Xenopus tropicalis: one gene and its partners. The main gene of each other region encodes a partner of the protein of the gene in region 3 in a complex. Links are inferred from orthologs where the notes say so. Each region holds a gene or a part of one and is shown on either strand. Other genes may lie near its edges. The genes, in order: sf3b1, sf3b4 and sf3b2.

Region 1 (5,946 bases), on a different chromosome or scaffold from region 3:
AACTCTCCTGAGCTCAGCTCAAACAAAGCAGAACTTTTATCAGACAGTTCTGCCTGTGTGAACCTGTATTCTTGATGAAATGTATGCTGAATAAGGGTCTGTGTGTGTGTATGCTGTTTGCAGATTTAAATGTATCTGATTATGTATCAGAGGAAAAATGGCCACCGAGTAAAAGCTGCTATTTGCTTTAGGAAAATGTGATGGTGCTGGCAAACAGAGGGGATATATACAGTACAAATGGTACCATTTGGGTGGGGTAGACGTGCCCAACTGATATACATTGTAGGCTTTACATGTCCTTTAAGGTTAGTAATGGTACTGTCTATTTTTGCTAATGATTTTGCAAAAAATGCAGGATGTTGCCACTTTAGAGTTTTCATAAACATTACACAAAATACAATTACTGTGGAACACTAGAAGGGCTGAAATAGATGGATTGTTTTTTTCAGCTAAATTTAACTTCACATAAAGGAACAAAGCATTACATTTTTTATACATAAAATGTTTATTTCACAAATACACATCTTCAAAGATAAATGAATGGCATTTGTATCAGATTTTGGATCAAAAATAGCCAAACTTTCCTAGTCACTTCTAAACAGATTACACCAAAACAGGCTCTCCTAAAAATCATGCTGCAGAACTGTGTGTATTACTTATGTTTCACATAATATGCAGAACAATTAAGTGAACGATGGTAAATATTTTACAAAATATAGTCAAGCTCATAGCGAATGTAGGTGTTCTTTTCATCATTGTATATACGAGGATAATGAGCAATGAGGGCATCTTGTGAGCCAATATATATTGAATTGTATATTTTCCAGTATACATCCCTCACTTTCCTGGCTGGATGAAAGAGGCCCTAGGAGAAAAAACAAAGAACAAAAAATAAAGGTGTGGACACAACATGCAGGTATCAGTTTTAAAGAGACCAAACAATCATTTTAATTTACAAAGTGTTTTATACTAATGTTAGTCTTGCAGAAACTAAAAGGTTAGCTAAAAAAAGGTTTTAAATAAATGTCAAGAGGAAAGATATGTACAACTCATTTTTAAATATGCACTGGTAGTACTGTATTTATTAAATACATGGAAGGCAGGGCACACAGGTCCCCAATGACTCCTATAAAGACCACTACTTCTGCACAAGTTTTATCATTTTTAAAAAAACGGTATTGTTTTGAAGCAATGTTTTGTTATGAATCATACTTACACTGAACCCTGGTTTGAAAAAGGGACCTGTACAGAAGCTACATGATTGCCTCCACTGCTCTAAATCAGCATATTTATACAAGTCATTTTACAGCTTAAAAGGAATACTTAAAGGGTTCCACCGCCAAAATTATTTTGTAAGGTGGAAAAAAAATCCAAGTTATTTTTCAAAATACATTAAACATTTTTTAATGTTCAAAAGTATCTGCCTGTCTACGTACTCTGCAATCCTGGCTCTGTCTTCTGAGACAATGCTGCCAGTTGATTAAAAGACCCTGAGAAGAACTGACTCCTGTTACAGTTTTAAGAGTCAGAATTAAATACAAAGTGATTGATGCATGCCAAAAAAAGCACTCAACTGAACATACAAATAAAACACTGGACAGTCACTCTCCTTTTGATGGAATGTATTTCTAAGGCGCTGGTCACCAACAGCATTGGCTCTGCTTCTTTCAGTCTGTTTTTTGTAGGCAGGCTAAGAAGTGTATCTACATTCCATAGCCGGGTATAGCTGCACTGACAGGAATTTTAGGGCTGATCCCTGCTCTGCTCCGTGTAACTAACTTGGGCAGCTGCACTGACAAGTACAGGTTCTATGAGAGTGGATCCACTATTCCCCGCCTGCCTACAGAATTCAGCGTGATAGAAGTGGAGCCAACTGTGTGTGAGACCTGGGAGGGTAGACGGGTATTGAAAGAATGGTCTGTGACCAGATGGGACCAAAATTAGTTTAAATGAATAGTTTTGTTTGGTGCAAACCTCTGCATTCTAGCACAAGAACTGTATCCCATCTGTTAGCCAAGGTTGTGGCAGTTTCATGTTTTGGGTCTGTTTCTGTCTCTGGACCAGGATGGCCAACCATCATTGATGAAACTATCATTTCTAAATTGTATCTGCAAAATCTGCAGGAAAATATTGGTTTCTAGCCATCAACTGAAGCTCAAGAGAATGTGGGTTAATGCAACAAGGCAATGACCCTAAACCCACAAGTCAATCTACCAAAGAATGGTCCTAACCCTGTATGGAACTGCTGCAAGGTTATAAGACTAGCCAGAACTTTTGCTTATTAATGATTGCTGATCTACATGTCTTGCAGTCAAGTCCAGCAGCCCCAACATGTGTTTGCCTAGATTAAATATGTTTATTTCTTGTAGATGGAGTCTTAGTGGCATCAGTTCTCTTTATCAAGCAAAGCTATACATTCTAAGGAAAAGTGCTTTGCACTCATGGTCTAAGCTTATGTTCTGCAGCTGATCAACTGAATAATGGGCAGTTAACAAAATAACTTGATAGCACTTCAATATTTATATGGTGCTACCGCTGCTTTGCTAATAGCACATGCTGGGTGAGGAAACAGGCAAAAAAAAAAAAAAGTGTAAAACAGAGGCAGTATAGGTTATGGACCACGGAGATTCACATAGGGAGTAACTCAAATGTTACCTTGGGTGATTGGTTAACAGTTATTGGTGAGATATCCTATGGGCAAAAAGTGACTCATCTGATATTTCCCTAAGGCTAAGAGCACAGGGACTATGCCTTGGACCTGTGTGCATACACACAAATCAGATATCAGTACAAAAATGCATACGGTTATATGCTAAAATTTGCTCCATGTATCTGGCCAACACCATGCTTATTAGTGAAAGCCTCAGATAAATTTGGTCCAAGTACTGGTTATGTATCCAGTGACTGCAGACAGTCATTACTCTCTAGGCACACTAAAAACTACTACAAGATTAAGAGTGCATTGTTAAAGATGAAGCTCATGGAAACAATAATTCAATGTCCAAGGTACAAGTGCACCTTTAAATTCTACCCCCTGCAGTTTGTGGGCATTTAGAAAATACTCTAACAGTAAGTATTAGGGTAAAATGTAAGAGCCCACAGCTGTGGCTAAGCACCCTTCTTATTACACCCAGAAAAAGAAAAACAGGAAATTGAGTGTGTTTATTATCTGGTGACCCTCCACTTGATTTACTTTTCTACTTACTGACGTCAATAATTTGCTGTACTGTTTCATCACAAATACTGTATTTCAAACTTTAAGAATAAAATTATATAATAATCACCTAACACCTACTGATTTATTTGATTTCATTCAATTAACATATCTAACTCCAAAAAATATATTTTTAGGAATTTCTTTAGTAATAAGTAATTAGTTAAACTACATCCTCAGGATAAAAAGAAGCAGGATATTTAAACTTCTAGGTAGGTAGGCACTAGTATGGGAGGGTGGAGTATACATCCTGATGAATAGCAACGTATGGCTCTGTGCCCCAAGAAGGTTACATCCTCTAAAATCATTAACTACTATAAAAAAACAAAAACAAAAAACAAACAAACAAACCACAAACTACTAAAATCTTACCATCACAATGGCTTTATAATACATTTTAAACAGCAATACATGTTCTTAGAACAAAATGTTTATCTGTAATATAAAAATACATGAATTTGTAAGGGAAAAAAACAAACATACCTGTAAGCAATACTGCAACATTCTACAAGGCCCAATTGCAACCCGTAGGCCTTCAAGTGCACCCATAACAGCCTGGATGACATGAGGGGAAGTTTCAAACACATTTGGCCAAACATAGTTCAGCAAATGGTTCAAAGAATCTTCACATCCAAATCCATACACGCCTAGTGACATATGCTGAACAACTGCACTAGCAGTCTGTCGGTGTACAAGATCTCTGAAAAGTAAAATAGGGTGGGGGTGAAGAAAAAAAAAAACAAAATATTAGGGACAATAAAAAAAAAAATTATCTCCCCCTTCCCATTAAAGAATTTATTTACCTGTCCATTAAAGCATCTTCCAGCAATGGTGTTACAGCATAAATATAATCCTTTCCCATTTCTCCAATGTATTCGAAAAGGAAAGAGAGGGATTTTAACACACCATTTTGAACATTGAGTTCTGGTACTCTATATTCATTCATTAGTGCTGGTAAAACTGTAAATGGTGAGCAGGTTTCTGCAACAATAGCTATTGCTACTGTGGTGCATACTCTGTTTTGTCTCTCTTGCACCTTTAAATTATTAAGAAGTGTGGCAAGAACATCATGAGGCCTAAAAGAGAAAAAAATGTTTAACACAAAAAATGAAAGGCAACCTGAATTAAGATGCCTGCACACAAAGTGAAAGTCAGTTGTAGCATTTTATTATGCTATATTTATTATTATACTTTAAGCACAAAACATAAAATGTGTGGTGTTAGTAAATAGCGCTTTAAGTACTAGTGTTGCTATACACAAAGCACCATCTCTGAGCCTTACCTGAAGCACATGTAAATGCTGTGCAAGAACCCTGGGCACCAAGTTGTGCCATAGGATTGTTGCTGCTGTGACAAGACTGCCACAGAAATGAATGCAATTGCTTATACAGTCCTAAAAACAGCTGTAAATCCTGTATTGCATGCTTTTACAGCCATGTGTAATTTTTCCCCACACACTCTACAATTTTTCATTAGGCTGCAAAAGCCCTTAATTCTTTATTTTCATTTTAAGGCACATGAAAAAATAATGTTAAAAGCAACAGTCCTGTTTTGTATAACATTTTATTTCTATAAATTTGTAGTCAACATTTCTGAACAAGTTAAATAAATGTGACACTATCATATTTTGTTCAATAGGTTAAACATCTGAGAAACCATATATACTTACCCAATAGCTTTTGCAATATAGCCAAAGGTATTGACAGTTGCTCTTCTAATTGCCTTCTTATGTGCCTTTAGCAGTTCCAGTAACTCGAAACAAATCCTCATCCATTCCCTTGCAGACACATATTCAGCTCCTCTGAAAATATCATCATAACAAAATGTTAAGGTCATTTTCATAAGCTCAGAGTTAGAAATTTGCAGGCTACAATAACTAGCACTTCTGATCACTTTGTGGCCAATTTGATGGTTCTAGTTGTTTTTGTCATCTTGCCTATTCTTCACTTAAAACTTTTCCTGCCCTGATATTTGGTCAATCCTTGACTTTGCTTTTTTCTTCTCCTTACCGTACTCAGCCCTGTTATGTGCCCCTGTCCTGGATTCAATATCAATTCAATTGGGTCAATAAGTTGTAAAAAAATGTTGGTAAACCACAGAAGCATGAAAAAGATCCCTGAGGATGCTTTGATTGGCTATTTGGTAGCCTCATGCAGGAAGTTCTTGGACTAAAATTGTCTGTGCTTCCAAAACTTGCCTCCAACCCAGAAATGTATTTGAAGACACGGAGCAAAATCAAAAGGGGTGGTGAGCAACACGTTGCTCATGAGACACGGGTTGGGGATCACAGTCCTAAAGCAATAATGCCATCAAACCTTTTTTCATTTTTATTATACCGTGTAATACCCTTATTTGAGCTTTAATAAATTGATTTCATGCTTGCTACTTTATTTAAAAAAAAGGAGGTGTACCCTGGAGATTAAACTAAAAAGTAGTTACGTGTATACTCGAGTATAAGCTGATCCAAATATAAGCCGAGGTACTTAATTTTGCCTAAGAAAACTGGAAAAACCTATTGACTCGAGTATAAGCCTAGGGTGGAAAATGCAGCAGCTACTGCCAAGTTTCAATAATCAAAATAAATTCCAATAAAATTAGGATCTATCAATCTTACTGAACAAATACGTGCAAGGAATGAGTATGCGAGATGCCAGGCTCTCCCCTACTGCCTCCCACAGGCTTAACAGCATAAATCACCTGGAGAAGGAATCACTCATTAATACCTGCGTTGC
Region 2 (6,020 bases), on a different chromosome or scaffold from region 3:
TTACACCAAAAGCGCTGAAGGTGTCATAAAGCAACTTCTCATCAATCTCTGGGTCCAAGTTTCCAATGAAGATGTTGGCGCCGACATCCAGGTTTTTGTTGTGCGCCGAGGCTTTATTTACTCTAATGGGTTTCCCATAGAGCTTTATCATGTTCATAATCTTTATGGCGTAGTCGGCATCCTCCTCACTCAGAAATTCCACAAAGCCATAACCTGGAAACAAACCATCAGAGACTGTATCACCTGTCTGTTATCTATACATATACTCAGCACGGAGTGCAACATGGCAGCTTCCATAGCTAGAAATTGATGACCCACCCCGCCATTAAAAAGGAATGATTCCTTTGTTTTCAGCAAAGCCACATATGATATTGTAGCAATGTTATCAACTAACAGTAACAAAGATGTATGATCCTGGGGGTGGAAGGAAGGACAACATAAAAGCACTATTGCTGTGAGATGCAAAGCATGTACACTTAGGGTGAAGACACACAGAGCTACTTTTTCAAGGCTACTAAATGCCAGAAAATCCCCTGCCAGACAATAGTGAGAATTGCCTCTGCTAAAACACACGGAGACAATTATCAGCAAATGATCAGCATTGTCTATTCCCGTAGCTGTGACAAGTAGCTGCTACAAGTAGCTGCTACTAGTAGCTCTGTGTGTCTTCAGCCTTAAGGTTGAACACACATGGAACTACTAATAGCAGCTACTTGTTGTGGCTACTAAAAAAAAAAAAAAGACAGTGCTGGTCATTTACTGATAATTGTCTCTACGTGTGTTTTAGCAGGGGCAATTCTCAGTTGTCTATGGCATGGGATTTTCTGGGGTTTAGTAGCCTTGAAAAAGTAGCTGCTACTTAGTAGCTCTGTGTGTCTTCACCCTGATGCTTTTGGATCCAGCACACATTTTCACCAGGACACCTGTGGTGTTTCCCCATTCAGGCAAATGGGAAGAGACAGTGACCAAGTAGATATGTTGCTTTAACCATGATCAAACGATGTGGAAACTATTGCTTCCCGCACACAGAAACCCCCAAAATACCCTGTAATCTGTTCCTTCAAAAAGCATGAATAAATACCATTTTTATATGCTGAAATCCAGCTGCAAAACAGTTCTTCTCTTTCTGCATCATTTGAAATCCTGGCAGGGGAGGAGGGACTAAAACATTCTTGTTACAAATTGCAACAACTTCTCCACAGCATTCCCCTCCATTCCTGCCTATACACAGCTATAAGAAATAATGGTTAAGAGGTGCCAATCTTACCTTGATGCTGCCCCGTGACCCTGTCTTTGGGCATGTGTGTATTCACTACAGGCCCTGCTTGCAAGAAGAGCTCCCATAGAAGAGGCTCAGACACCTTTTCATCCAGGCCTCCGACATACACTGTGGCATCTAAATCCAAAAAGAAAAAAAAAAAAAGTTATAGTACACGGCAAATCAGCTATTCCACCTTCTCTTTAAATATCCCCGTTACACTCTGAATAAATGCACAGATCATAGATCCGAGGCACTGTTGCCCTGAACTGGTAAAACTGGTGTGTTTGCTACAGTAACACTACTATAATTTATATGATAAGCTGCTGTGTAGCCACAGGGGCAGCCATTCAAGCTGGAAAAGAGGAGAAAAGGCACAGGTTACATAGCAGATAACAGATAAGTTCTGTAGAATACAATAGTGTTTTATCTGTTATCTGCTATGTGCCTGTGCCTTTTCTCCTTTGAATGGCTGCCCCCATGGCTACATAGCAGCTTATTTATATAAATTATAGTAGACTTTCTGAAGCAAACACACAGCTTTTACCAGTGCAGGGCAGCAGCACATTATATTTTAGTTACTTTTAGGGCTCTGGCACACGAGGAGATTTGTCGTCTGCGTTTTTTCCCCCTGGCGCTTTGGCGACAAGTCGCCACGAGAATACCCTCAAAGAGATTTCATGCGAGTTGAGCTCCAGGCGATCTGCTACCCATGGTACACTCAACAGTTAACCCCCCTCAAGTCGCTCAGAAAAGGGTCTGTGTGCGACTTGAAACAGCAGGCGATCTGAAGTAGCCTCGTATGTTTTGACGCTGGCAATTTCCATTGATTTAGCATTGGTGTCTTGTCGCCAAATCGCTCTTTTAAAAATCGCCGGCGACAAATCTCCTCGTGTTCCAGAGCCCTTATACACTTTCATTTTTTGGTGTTACTGTTCCTTTAATCCTTGTAATACAAACTCTCCTTGCTACAGGGTTTAGCTTTCCCTTTACAACCCTGGAGATATCCACCTATAAACCCGAAAGATAACGAGAGAAAGTTTTCATCAACTTTCCAACATATATATATACCGTATATACTCGAGTATAAGCCGAGTTTTTCAGCACTAAAAATGTGCTGAAAAAGGAACCCTCGGCTTATACTCGCGCATATACTCGCGTATATATACGGTAAATGGTTTCGCAGCTGCTCGTTGCATGCGAACCTGCCTGCACACCTGTGACGTAGCGGAAGATAGCGCTCGGACTACCGCCAGATAGCGAAGGACCCGTTCGCGGACTTTATTGAGGTTGTCCCGCAACTCTAAGGACCGGCCAAACAGCGCCAAACTCCCGGACCGTGGTGTCTTGTTGCTGTCGGGTGTGCTGCTTATTGCAATAATTGTGCCGAGAGCGCTCTGTTTCTTTAACCCTTGTCACACGGCAGCTGGCGAGGCGATTACATGACGGCTCCTTGCAGACACACAGGTTGGAATTAAGAGGAGCGCCGCCGCTTATTTAAAGAGCAGCGTAAATGCTGGGCTTACGGATCCTCTGGCGCTGCTGACAGGGCACACCGCAAGGTACCGCTGCTTCACTTGCACACCGGGAGTTGCTTTGGGTCTCATTGAAATATAGCAGGGTGCTGGGTGGCCATTCTGTGGGTGTCTCATCCTTGTCTTGTCGGGCACTGATGTCCCAAATCGCCACCATGAGATAGAACAGCTTTGAGGTAACCTATTGTTTCTCCTACTCCCATGTAACTGGTCGGCTTATACTCAAGTCAATAAGTTTTTCCAGTTTTCTTAGGTAAAATTAGGTACCTCGGCTTATATTCGGATCGGCTTATACTCGAGTATATACGGTAATAAAAAAAATCAGTGGTTCAAAGGTAAATGCTATTGCTATTGGAAGTAGTATCTATCTGCCCCTTTCTTATTCTTGAAACCATTTCATAGTTTAATAGCCCTGGCCTTTGTTACATTGTTTCAGAAGTCAGAACCAGCAGTGTAGACTATAATAAGACAGACGGCTTTCGCTAACAATTATATTTTGCAAGAAACTTTATAAACGTTGGAAATGTGTAATGAATGTATATAGGGAGGCTGCTTAGCATTAGTTCTGTGCATTATACACAGTGTTTATGGGGATAGCACTATAAACTGTATTGGTGGGGAAGAAGCAGATCAATGTTTCTGTGTAGATTCAGGTACAGTTACAGGCCGGGCTGCCGATATTATAAGAACAGCTTTGTGTCCAAATGACTTTTGCACAGAGATGGAGCCTGCACCTCATGCACACAGTGCAGCCCGCCTCCCCCTGCTCTGAGCTCTTACTGTTCCCTGTAAACCCCGGATACCCCTACTTCCAGCCCCCCCGGCATAACAGTTCCCTCCGCCCCAATCACCCCATGCAGCCCATACGCAGTCTGTACGTTCCTTACCCTGGTTCCGTTCAGATATCGGCCCAGCCGCCATTTTCTCGCCGCCAACCACTCAGCCACCTCGCTGCTTCAGTTTCCGCTTCCCTACTTCCGGCCTCAGAACGCTTACTTCCGCAACCACTTTTTTTTTTTTTTTTTAGATGGAATAACTTTATTAACATGCCTTATGCAGTCAATGCTTTCCGGCGGAGATATTTGTATTGTAATGAAACCCCAAAGCTAAAAGTAAACGTGTAGTAAACTCTGAGGGGGTTATTTATTTATTTTTATATTTTTTTAAGATTTTACAGTAAATGTGCCAGTATTGTCAGCGCATAGAGGGTGTTTCATTGTTTCTATGGGCACCAAGGATTATTAAAGGGTCCCTGGTGTGAGCTAAGGGTGCAGACACACGGAGCTACTAGTAGCAACTACTTGTAGTCGCTACTTAAATAGACAATGCTGATCATTTACTGATAACAGTCTCAATGTGTTTTAGGGCTCTGGCACACGGGGAGATTAGTCGCCCGCGACAAAACTCCCTGTTCGCGGGCGACTAATCTCCCCGAGTTGTCATGACCCGCCATCCCACTGGCAAACATGTAAGTCGCCGGCGGGATGGCACACGCGGCGGCGCGATTTCCCAAATCTTTTTCGGCGATTTCGGGAAATCGCGCCGCCGCGTGTGCCATCCCACCGGCGACTTACATTGTCGCCGATGGGATGGCAGGGGAAGGCAACTCAGGGAGATTAGTCGCCCGCGAACAGGGAGTTTTGTCGCGGGCGACTAATCTCCCCGTGTGCCAGAGCCCTTAGCAGAGGGAATTCTCAGTATTGTCTATGGCAGGGGATTTTTTGGCGTTTAGTAGCTGTGAAAAAGTAGCTGCTACTAGTAGCTCTGTGTGTCTTCACCCTAAAGGAACATACAAGGGTCACATGTAAAGACCAATGCTCCTCCCCTTTTACATAGAGATGTCTGTTGGTTGAGAATTTAGTGAGACAAGAAAGTCTTATTGGCCAAATAGTAGATTTGACTATTGTGTCTGATGTATATTTTTAAACCTTTAATGTTAAAGGTAACTGAAAGCCTGGTGAATGCCTTGGTACCAAAAACTCCTTGTTTGTTGCCCCTGGATATAAAAAGCAGACTGGTGGAGCAGTAGTGAGGGGAGCCAGAGCAGCCCAAGATGGCAGCTGCCAAACCTGCACTTTTCTTCTTCTAACCAGATACAACAACTAAGCAGGTTTGGGGGTCCCTGTTGGTGGGGTTTAGGAAGGGACAAAGGTACTAACCAGGCTTTTATTCTCTTTTATCCTGATTGTACACAGGACAATGTAAGATGACAGTTTGGTTGGCCTCCCCAGTATAAGCTGGCAGCTTTGACAACATTGTCCCATAGTCCTAGGTTGTGATACAGTTGTTGGATCATAACCATCTGATCAGTTTGATTTTGCCCAGTATATGGGTTATAACTACTGATTTTTGTGGGACAGTACTGATTTGCTGCCCCCTACCCACCAATCAGGATTGGCAAATGTCTTGATCTTGCCACGCCATTATGCATGACTTGCAAGATGGCACTGCAACATAGTTTAACTCCTCACATTATATAAAGTGCTGTACCCAACGGAGCAGCGGAGGAGGATTCATTGCTGTGTCTGCACAGGGGTTTTGGAGTGGGTGATGTACCATATTTTGTCTGTCAAAAAATGCCTGTGGCATGAATGCTTGGGCCAGACTGGGACATGAAATGACTGGGGTCAAACTGTGACATGAAATGGCCGGGGTCAGACTGTGACATGAAATGGCCGGGGTCAGACTGTGACATGAAATGCCGAGGGCCAGACTGTGACATGAATGCTTGGGCCAGACTGTGACATGAATGTTTGGGCCAGACTGTGACATGAATGCTTGGGCCAGACTGTGACATGAATGCTTGGGCCAGACTGTGACATGAATGCTTGGGCCAGACTGTGACATGAATGCTTGGGCCAGACTGTGACATGAATGCTTGGGCCAGACTGGGACATGAAATGACTGGGGTCAGACTGTGACATGAAATGGCCGGGGTCAGACTGTGACATGAAATGCCGAGGGCCAGACTGTGACATGAATGCTTGGGCTAGACTGTGACATGAATGTTTGGGCCAGACTGTGACATGAATGCTTGGGCCAGACTGTGACATGAATGCTTGGGCCAGACTGTGACATGAATGCTTGGGCCAGACTGTGACATGAATGCTTGGGCCAGACTGTGACATGAATGCCGAGGACCAGACTGTGACATGAATGCTTGGGCCAGACTGTGACATGAATGCCGAGGGCCAGACTGTGACATGAATGCTTGGGCCAGACTGTGA
Region 3 (5,946 bases):
GGAATGCATAGGTGCATATACTGGGTTTTGTATTAGGTCCTCTAATAAGAAACCATGACAAGAGGACCAAATAGTTATTTGGTAACAGCAATAATTACTTCCTGGGCACTGTTATAAGTTTTAGGAGAGATTACCAGTAGTTGCTGGCAAAGATACAAGCTCTTCTTGCCGGAGCTCCTTAAGCTGAAGAATCTTTTCAAGGACCTGAGGGATTTTAGGTCCTGTTGAGCTGTCATCTGCCTGTTTTAAGAAAAACAGAAACAATCAGAACATGATAAAAAGGTTGCAGTGCAGAAAATATGCAGCACATAAAATAATAAACAAAAGAGGAAAACTGAGGAAAATGGAAAGAGACAATGCCATGAACAAAACGTAAAAAGCAAATAAATTAGCAAAAATTTGGACTTACTTCCTTGGAATCCTCTCCAGAAGGTTGTGATTGGACTCGAGGGCGGCTTGTGGAGGACATCAATGGTGGGATTGAGCTTATGGGGAGGGTACCTACAATTAAGATATACTTCAATACATATAGCAGGTACTCACAGATCCCACGAGCAGGCAAGAGTAGAAAAAATCAAAGAAGCTTTATTGTAGACAATTAGACCACATAATAGCTTTACTCATTTCGTGCACTTGACACTTAATCATAGGCTAGCTTTACCTACTTTTTGATTGCGAATGTACACCAATTTCCCCCCCAGAGGACAGAAATTATTCTAGTGTAGAAATATATAAATATTTACCTCTAGGAAGAAGGGGTGACCGTGTCGTGGAGACTTCCTGATCGATAAGTGTCACCTAGAAGAACAACAATGTAAATATATGGTTGTGTTAAGTGAAACATTTCAAAAGGCAATACATACACCATTTAGACAGTTAACTTTAATTTTTTTCCCCCTTACTAATATTTACTAAAACATATGGGCCAGAGTTATTTAGAGCCATTAATTTATATTCTGTGTTAGTTATGCATTCATCCTTTCCTCTCTATGTATTTATCCGCTATGTCCCCAATTATACCCCCACCTCAGCCTTTATACTTGTACAAGACAACTTCCCATACAGTTTCTCAATAGCCCCGAGTCAGAACATAAAATACATTTTCTCTAATTGCCTCTTGCTCCTAGTAAGGAAGCAGAGAGAATATACCAAATCTAGTACTGAATATAAAACCTGGGCTTCACATGAAGATGAACCAAAATCCAGGGGTCACAGTGTTCTTTTCTCTTCTCCAACCCTGCTATATCTCTCCAATGGGACACAGCAGCATTTGTATTAAAGACTTCAAAATTTGGTTTCATTAAGTATGGTGTTGTGATACTACCTGACATAATAAAAATATCCCTGGAACCCTGTGGCTAACAAATCACTCAGTTTTGCACATAAAGACTTGCAGAATCATTTGCGAGACTGATACTTAAATAAATGACACATTTTTGAGTCTGATCATTTAGGACAGGAAATACATTTTTACCTTTGGCTGCAGTGAAAGAGTTGGACCTTGTGACTGCTTTACCCCATCAGTGTCAGTAGTTATGCGAGGAGGCAAACCTATTGGAAAACCTCTTCCGAGACCAGGAGGTGGGGGAGGAGCCTGAAGTGTGGGTAGAGGCATCCCAGCCATCTATAAAAAGGACAAGAAAGCACTTATTTAGGGTGAATAAGACAAATAGAATTAGTATGGTCAGGCAGAGTAGACTGAGTAACAGAAAAAAAAAGACTCAATAAGCAAGAAGGCAAAGTTTATAAAAAGTAAAAATACTGTTTTATTTGATCCTAATTTAGCCAGCACACCCACCTGTGCCAATCTAACAGCAGTAGAGGATATTTCAGCATCATCTCGAACCTAAAATAAAAGAAAACATAGATACAATAAAGCTTTTATATAAAACAGGGTTATCTGCAAAAGAAACTATGTCTGGCCCACTGATCTGTGCAAATAGGGTTCTTTACTCAACAGGAAGGAATCATATTAGCATTTTCAAATCACTTGACCAGCACATTCAAATACCTATCTCAGTATAAACAAAAAATCAAAGATGCCCACTCACTGAAGATTGCCTTGCCCATGAGAAAAATAATGGATTTTGCTAAAGTAAACGTATGAAAAGGGTTTTTCATAGAGATTTCATAGAGAGCTTTTGCTTAAAATTTGAATGAAGCAAAGCAGAAAAAGCTGGGTTCTGGTGATCCTAAAGACTTAAAGGCTCATTTACTAACATAGTTGCTAAATTACACAAAAATGCAGTTGCCAACAGCAAACAATCAGCAAATAACTTGAAAATGAAAGCAAAGACATGACTGGTTGCTATCAGTACCTACACTAATGTAATCTAGCACCCATGTGTGTAAAGCCCATAACTGTATGGGAGTTATGGGACTTCTTAGTAAAGCTATTGCCACATGGGACTGATTCTTTTCATGTGTATAAACACTGCCTGAGAATCAACTGATCCTCTATCCTCTTGCTCCTTGGTGTACTTAGTGCCTGTGAGTGCAAACACAGAGTGGATTATAAATGCCCTGTTATTGGGTCAGTTAACCAGTCTGTAAAGTGAAAATTAAAAAAAGGGGTAAGGATTGACTGTAAGACATTCCAGACAAATATATAGTAACACACAGTAAATTACCTGTGGAGAAGCAAGATCCATAATATCCTCTCTGCTTCCTGTGGGAAAGAGACATTATTAATAAGATGTACTAGTAACTCAATATTACATAGAATACACTTTCTGAAAAGTACTATGCTCTACAATTTAAGGAGGAAATATCCTTCATAATACTTCACAGGAATAACACCTTCCAGCAAAAGACCTTGTGGAGAATAATTATTTACAAACACTTTCTTTTTAATAAAGTATACTGTAACCACTCAGGAAATATACAAGAGGCTGATTCTATATCCAGCCTTACCACATGATACCTTTGCATCCCTTCTGTACTCCTTGCCAGTCAACATGTGGTCATTGCTGCCTTTTATATCACAAAAAGGTGCTGTGAAATGTTGCCAACAAGTTTTCAGTTTTCCAGTTGTTAAGTTCTATATCATTGTGTATCTCTGGTCCTAAGAATGTCATTATAAAAATACTTAAACTAATAACAGAAAACTAGAAGAAAATCCCCTAGCCCTGATATGGAGTTACACAAAGCATAATCAGATTTCAATTCCAACTCTCATAAAGGACAGGGTTTTGGAAAAGAAAATTCTAAGGAAAAAGTTCACCCTGTTTCTAGAATGGTCTTGATAGAGGCAGGTTTGAGACCAGCAATACAGCTGATGAAAAAATTGCTGTAGTTTTCTGGCAACACACATAGTCTAATGTGATGGTGCACAAATTTCTACCTACCCCTGTTAAATTAATTTGTCATATAGGGCAGTGCTGTCCAACTGGCGGCCCGCGACCCCCCTCTGTGTGAGTAAGCATTAAATGGTATCAGTACTGAGATTAACTGGCCCCCTGCATGGTTCTCACCTCAGATTCAGGCTGTAATCCCTCTGTATTGTTTAAAAATGTAGTTCCCTGTGTTTTTCACACCTTTTAATACCTGCATTGTTCACCCCCAGCAGTGTTCACACCTCAGGCTCAGACTGTAATCACTCCAATTGTTTACTTCTTCACACCTCAGACATAGGTACTGTAGGCAGAGTATGGCACATACAGCCAGCATAGGGCAGGTAGAGTATGGCACATACAGTCACGGTAGGGCAGGCAGAGTATGGCATACACAGGCAGGGTAGGGCAGGCAGAGTATGGCACACACAGTCAGGGTAGGGCAGGCAGAGTATGGCACACACAGTCAGGGTAGGGCAGGCAGGAAATGGCACACACAGGAAGGGTAGGGCAGGCAGAGTATGGCACACACAGTCAGGGTAGGGCAGGCAGAGTATGGCACACACAGTCAGGGTAGGGCAGGCAGAGTACGGCACACACAGTCAGGGTAGGGCAGGCAGAGTATGGCACACACAGTCAGGGTAGGGCAGGCAGAGTATGGCACACACAGTCAGGGTAGGGCAGGCAGAGTATGGCACACAGAGGCAGCATAGGGAAGGCAGAGTATGGCACACACAGGCAGGGTATGGCACACACAGAAAGCATAGGACAGGCAGAGTGCTGCCTGTGTGTGCCATACTCTGCTTGCCCTATGCTGCTTGTGGGAGGTGAACCTGGCAGGGGTTTGTTGTGGGAGTTTGTTAGCAGTTGGAAATAGCCATTAAATCGTTCCTAAGGTGTGTAATTATGTACTGGGGGTTGCTCTGCTATCCACAGGGGAGGAGGAGGCATATGGAATTTAAGGGTATATCTTAATATGACATAATTCTTTCACATATGAATGATGGTTGATATCCCCACAGTAAGGACCAAGCATTTGGGATTTTGCTGTGCTACCACCATTGTGATAAAATAGGTGTGGTTTGAAGTGGGTGTGGTTTCAAAAAGGGGAGTGGTCAAAACTGGCTACAATTAGCGGCCCTCCACCATGTATGCTAGAGAAATTCCGGCCCTCGGCACCGTAGAAGTTGGACAGCACTGATATAGGGGAATGCTAGTATTTGTGCATTATGTAAGGGGGTCAATTCTTTCATTTAAAGCCAGATGTGCATGCTGCATGGCTAATTAGCAATTCACCCTGATGTGTGAAATAGTTTATACATCAACCTAAAAGGCTGGTAACTCCATCTCTTTAGGGTATATGCCTATCATGGGGCTGTACTGGTTTTTATACAACCTGGCAGACACAAGGGCGCAGACTTTGAGCCTTCAACAAAATGTGGGTAGATTAGATGTATAGAAACCTTCAATGAGATACCTGTGCAGGCTGCAGTACAAATCTCTGCAAATTTCTAAAGCTGGCTATACACAAGCCGACAAAAGCTGCTGACAATTATCCGTCCGTGTACGTGACCCCAAGACAATTCTTCTGATACTAATTGCACTGGTTTTAGAGCTGCCATGCTGTAATCTGTATTTACTAATCAGCCTGCTCAAGCCGGCCAGCTTAAAGGACAAGGAAAGGCTAAGTCACTCAGGGGTGCTAAAATGTTAGGCACCCCCAAGTGGCTTTAATCGCTTACCTTGTACCCCGGGCTGGTGCCCCTGTTAGGAGAAAACAGCACCAGCCCGGGGTACCTGTAGCAAGCGCTTCCTCCTTCCTGCATCGTTTTGCCGGACCCCACGACCGGCGCATGAGCAGTAACCTAACATTTTGGCACCCCAAGTGACTTTGCCTTTCCTTGTCCTTTAAAGGAAAACTATACCCCCCAAACAATGTAGGTCTCTATAAAAATATATTGCATAAACAAGCTCATATGCAAAACCCTGATTCATCTAAATAAACCTTTTTTGATATAAATATACTTTTTTAGTAGTATGGGCTACTGGGTACTCCGAAATAGAAAATTGCCATTTTAAGAATAAAGAGTCGTCTCCTGCAAACACAGGATTCAGAGTGCACACAAACAAGCCAACACATACATGCTAGGCCCCATAAGCCAACTAATAGACATAGTTCTGCCTTTTGCGTCTATACTTCTTCCTGGTCATGTGATCTCTGAGGCAGCACACAGCCCATTACTAAATGGTGGATCAAGGGAAAAGATGTAAAAGGGCAATATTTATTTTCTCTATATTATTTGTTTGGCGAGATTCTTTAATAGGTCACTTAACATAATATAAACTATCTGTTGGTTAAGTATTCATTCTGGGGGTATAGTTTTCTTTTAAGTGACCTTATCATCCAGGCATTTATTTGAATGGAATGCCCTGCTAGGTGAAGTTGTAATGCAGATTCTATTAATGCCTTAGGGCTCTGGCACACGGGGAGATTAGTCGCCCGCGTCAAAACTCCCTGTTCGCGGGCGACTAATCTCCCCGAGTTGCTTTCACCTGCCATCCCACCGGCGACAATGTAAGTCACCGGTGGGATGGCACATGCGGCAGCGCGATT

Evidence for each region.
Region 1: sf3b2 (region 3) and sf3b1 share a complex: the UniProt entries of both Homo sapiens proteins name them as parts of the SF3B subcomplex of the 17S U2 SnRNP complex. The link is inferred for Xenopus tropicalis from reciprocal best matches to the Homo sapiens genes SF3B2 and SF3B1.
Region 2: sf3b2 (region 3) and sf3b4 share a complex: the UniProt entries of both Homo sapiens proteins name them as parts of the SF3B subcomplex of the 17S U2 SnRNP complex. The link is inferred for Xenopus tropicalis from reciprocal best matches to the Homo sapiens genes SF3B2 and SF3B4.

The regions. Positions count from the first base shown.
Region 1 is NC_030685.2:45,851,423-45,857,368, forward strand, and holds the end of sf3b1 (splicing factor 3B subunit 1), read right to left. Parts: intron 5,016-5,946; coding exon 4,884-5,015; intron 4,291-4,883; coding exon 4,018-4,290; intron 3,915-4,017; coding exon 3,698-3,914; intron 866-3,697; coding exon 707-865; 3' UTR 487-706; downstream 1-486. UniProt on the Homo sapiens protein: Component of the 17S U2 SnRNP complex of the spliceosome, a large ribonucleoprotein complex that removes introns from transcribed pre-mRNAs.
Region 2 is NC_030684.2:128,886,678-128,892,697, forward strand, and holds the start of sf3b4 (splicing factor 3B subunit 4), read right to left. Parts: upstream 3,751-6,020; 5' UTR 3,715-3,750; coding exon 3,681-3,714; intron 1,397-3,680; coding exon 1,268-1,396; intron 214-1,267; coding exon 1-213. UniProt on the Homo sapiens protein: Component of the 17S U2 SnRNP complex of the spliceosome, a large ribonucleoprotein complex that removes introns from transcribed pre-mRNAs.
Region 3 is NC_030680.2:40,091,234-40,097,179, forward strand, and holds part of sf3b2 (splicing factor 3B subunit 2), read right to left. Parts: intron 2,669-5,946; coding exon 2,631-2,668; intron 1,847-2,630; coding exon 1,799-1,846; intron 1,625-1,798; coding exon 1,475-1,624; intron 799-1,474; coding exon 744-798; intron 502-743; coding exon 410-501; intron 241-409; coding exon 135-240; intron 1-134. UniProt on the Homo sapiens protein: Component of the 17S U2 SnRNP complex of the spliceosome, a large ribonucleoprotein complex that removes introns from transcribed pre-mRNAs.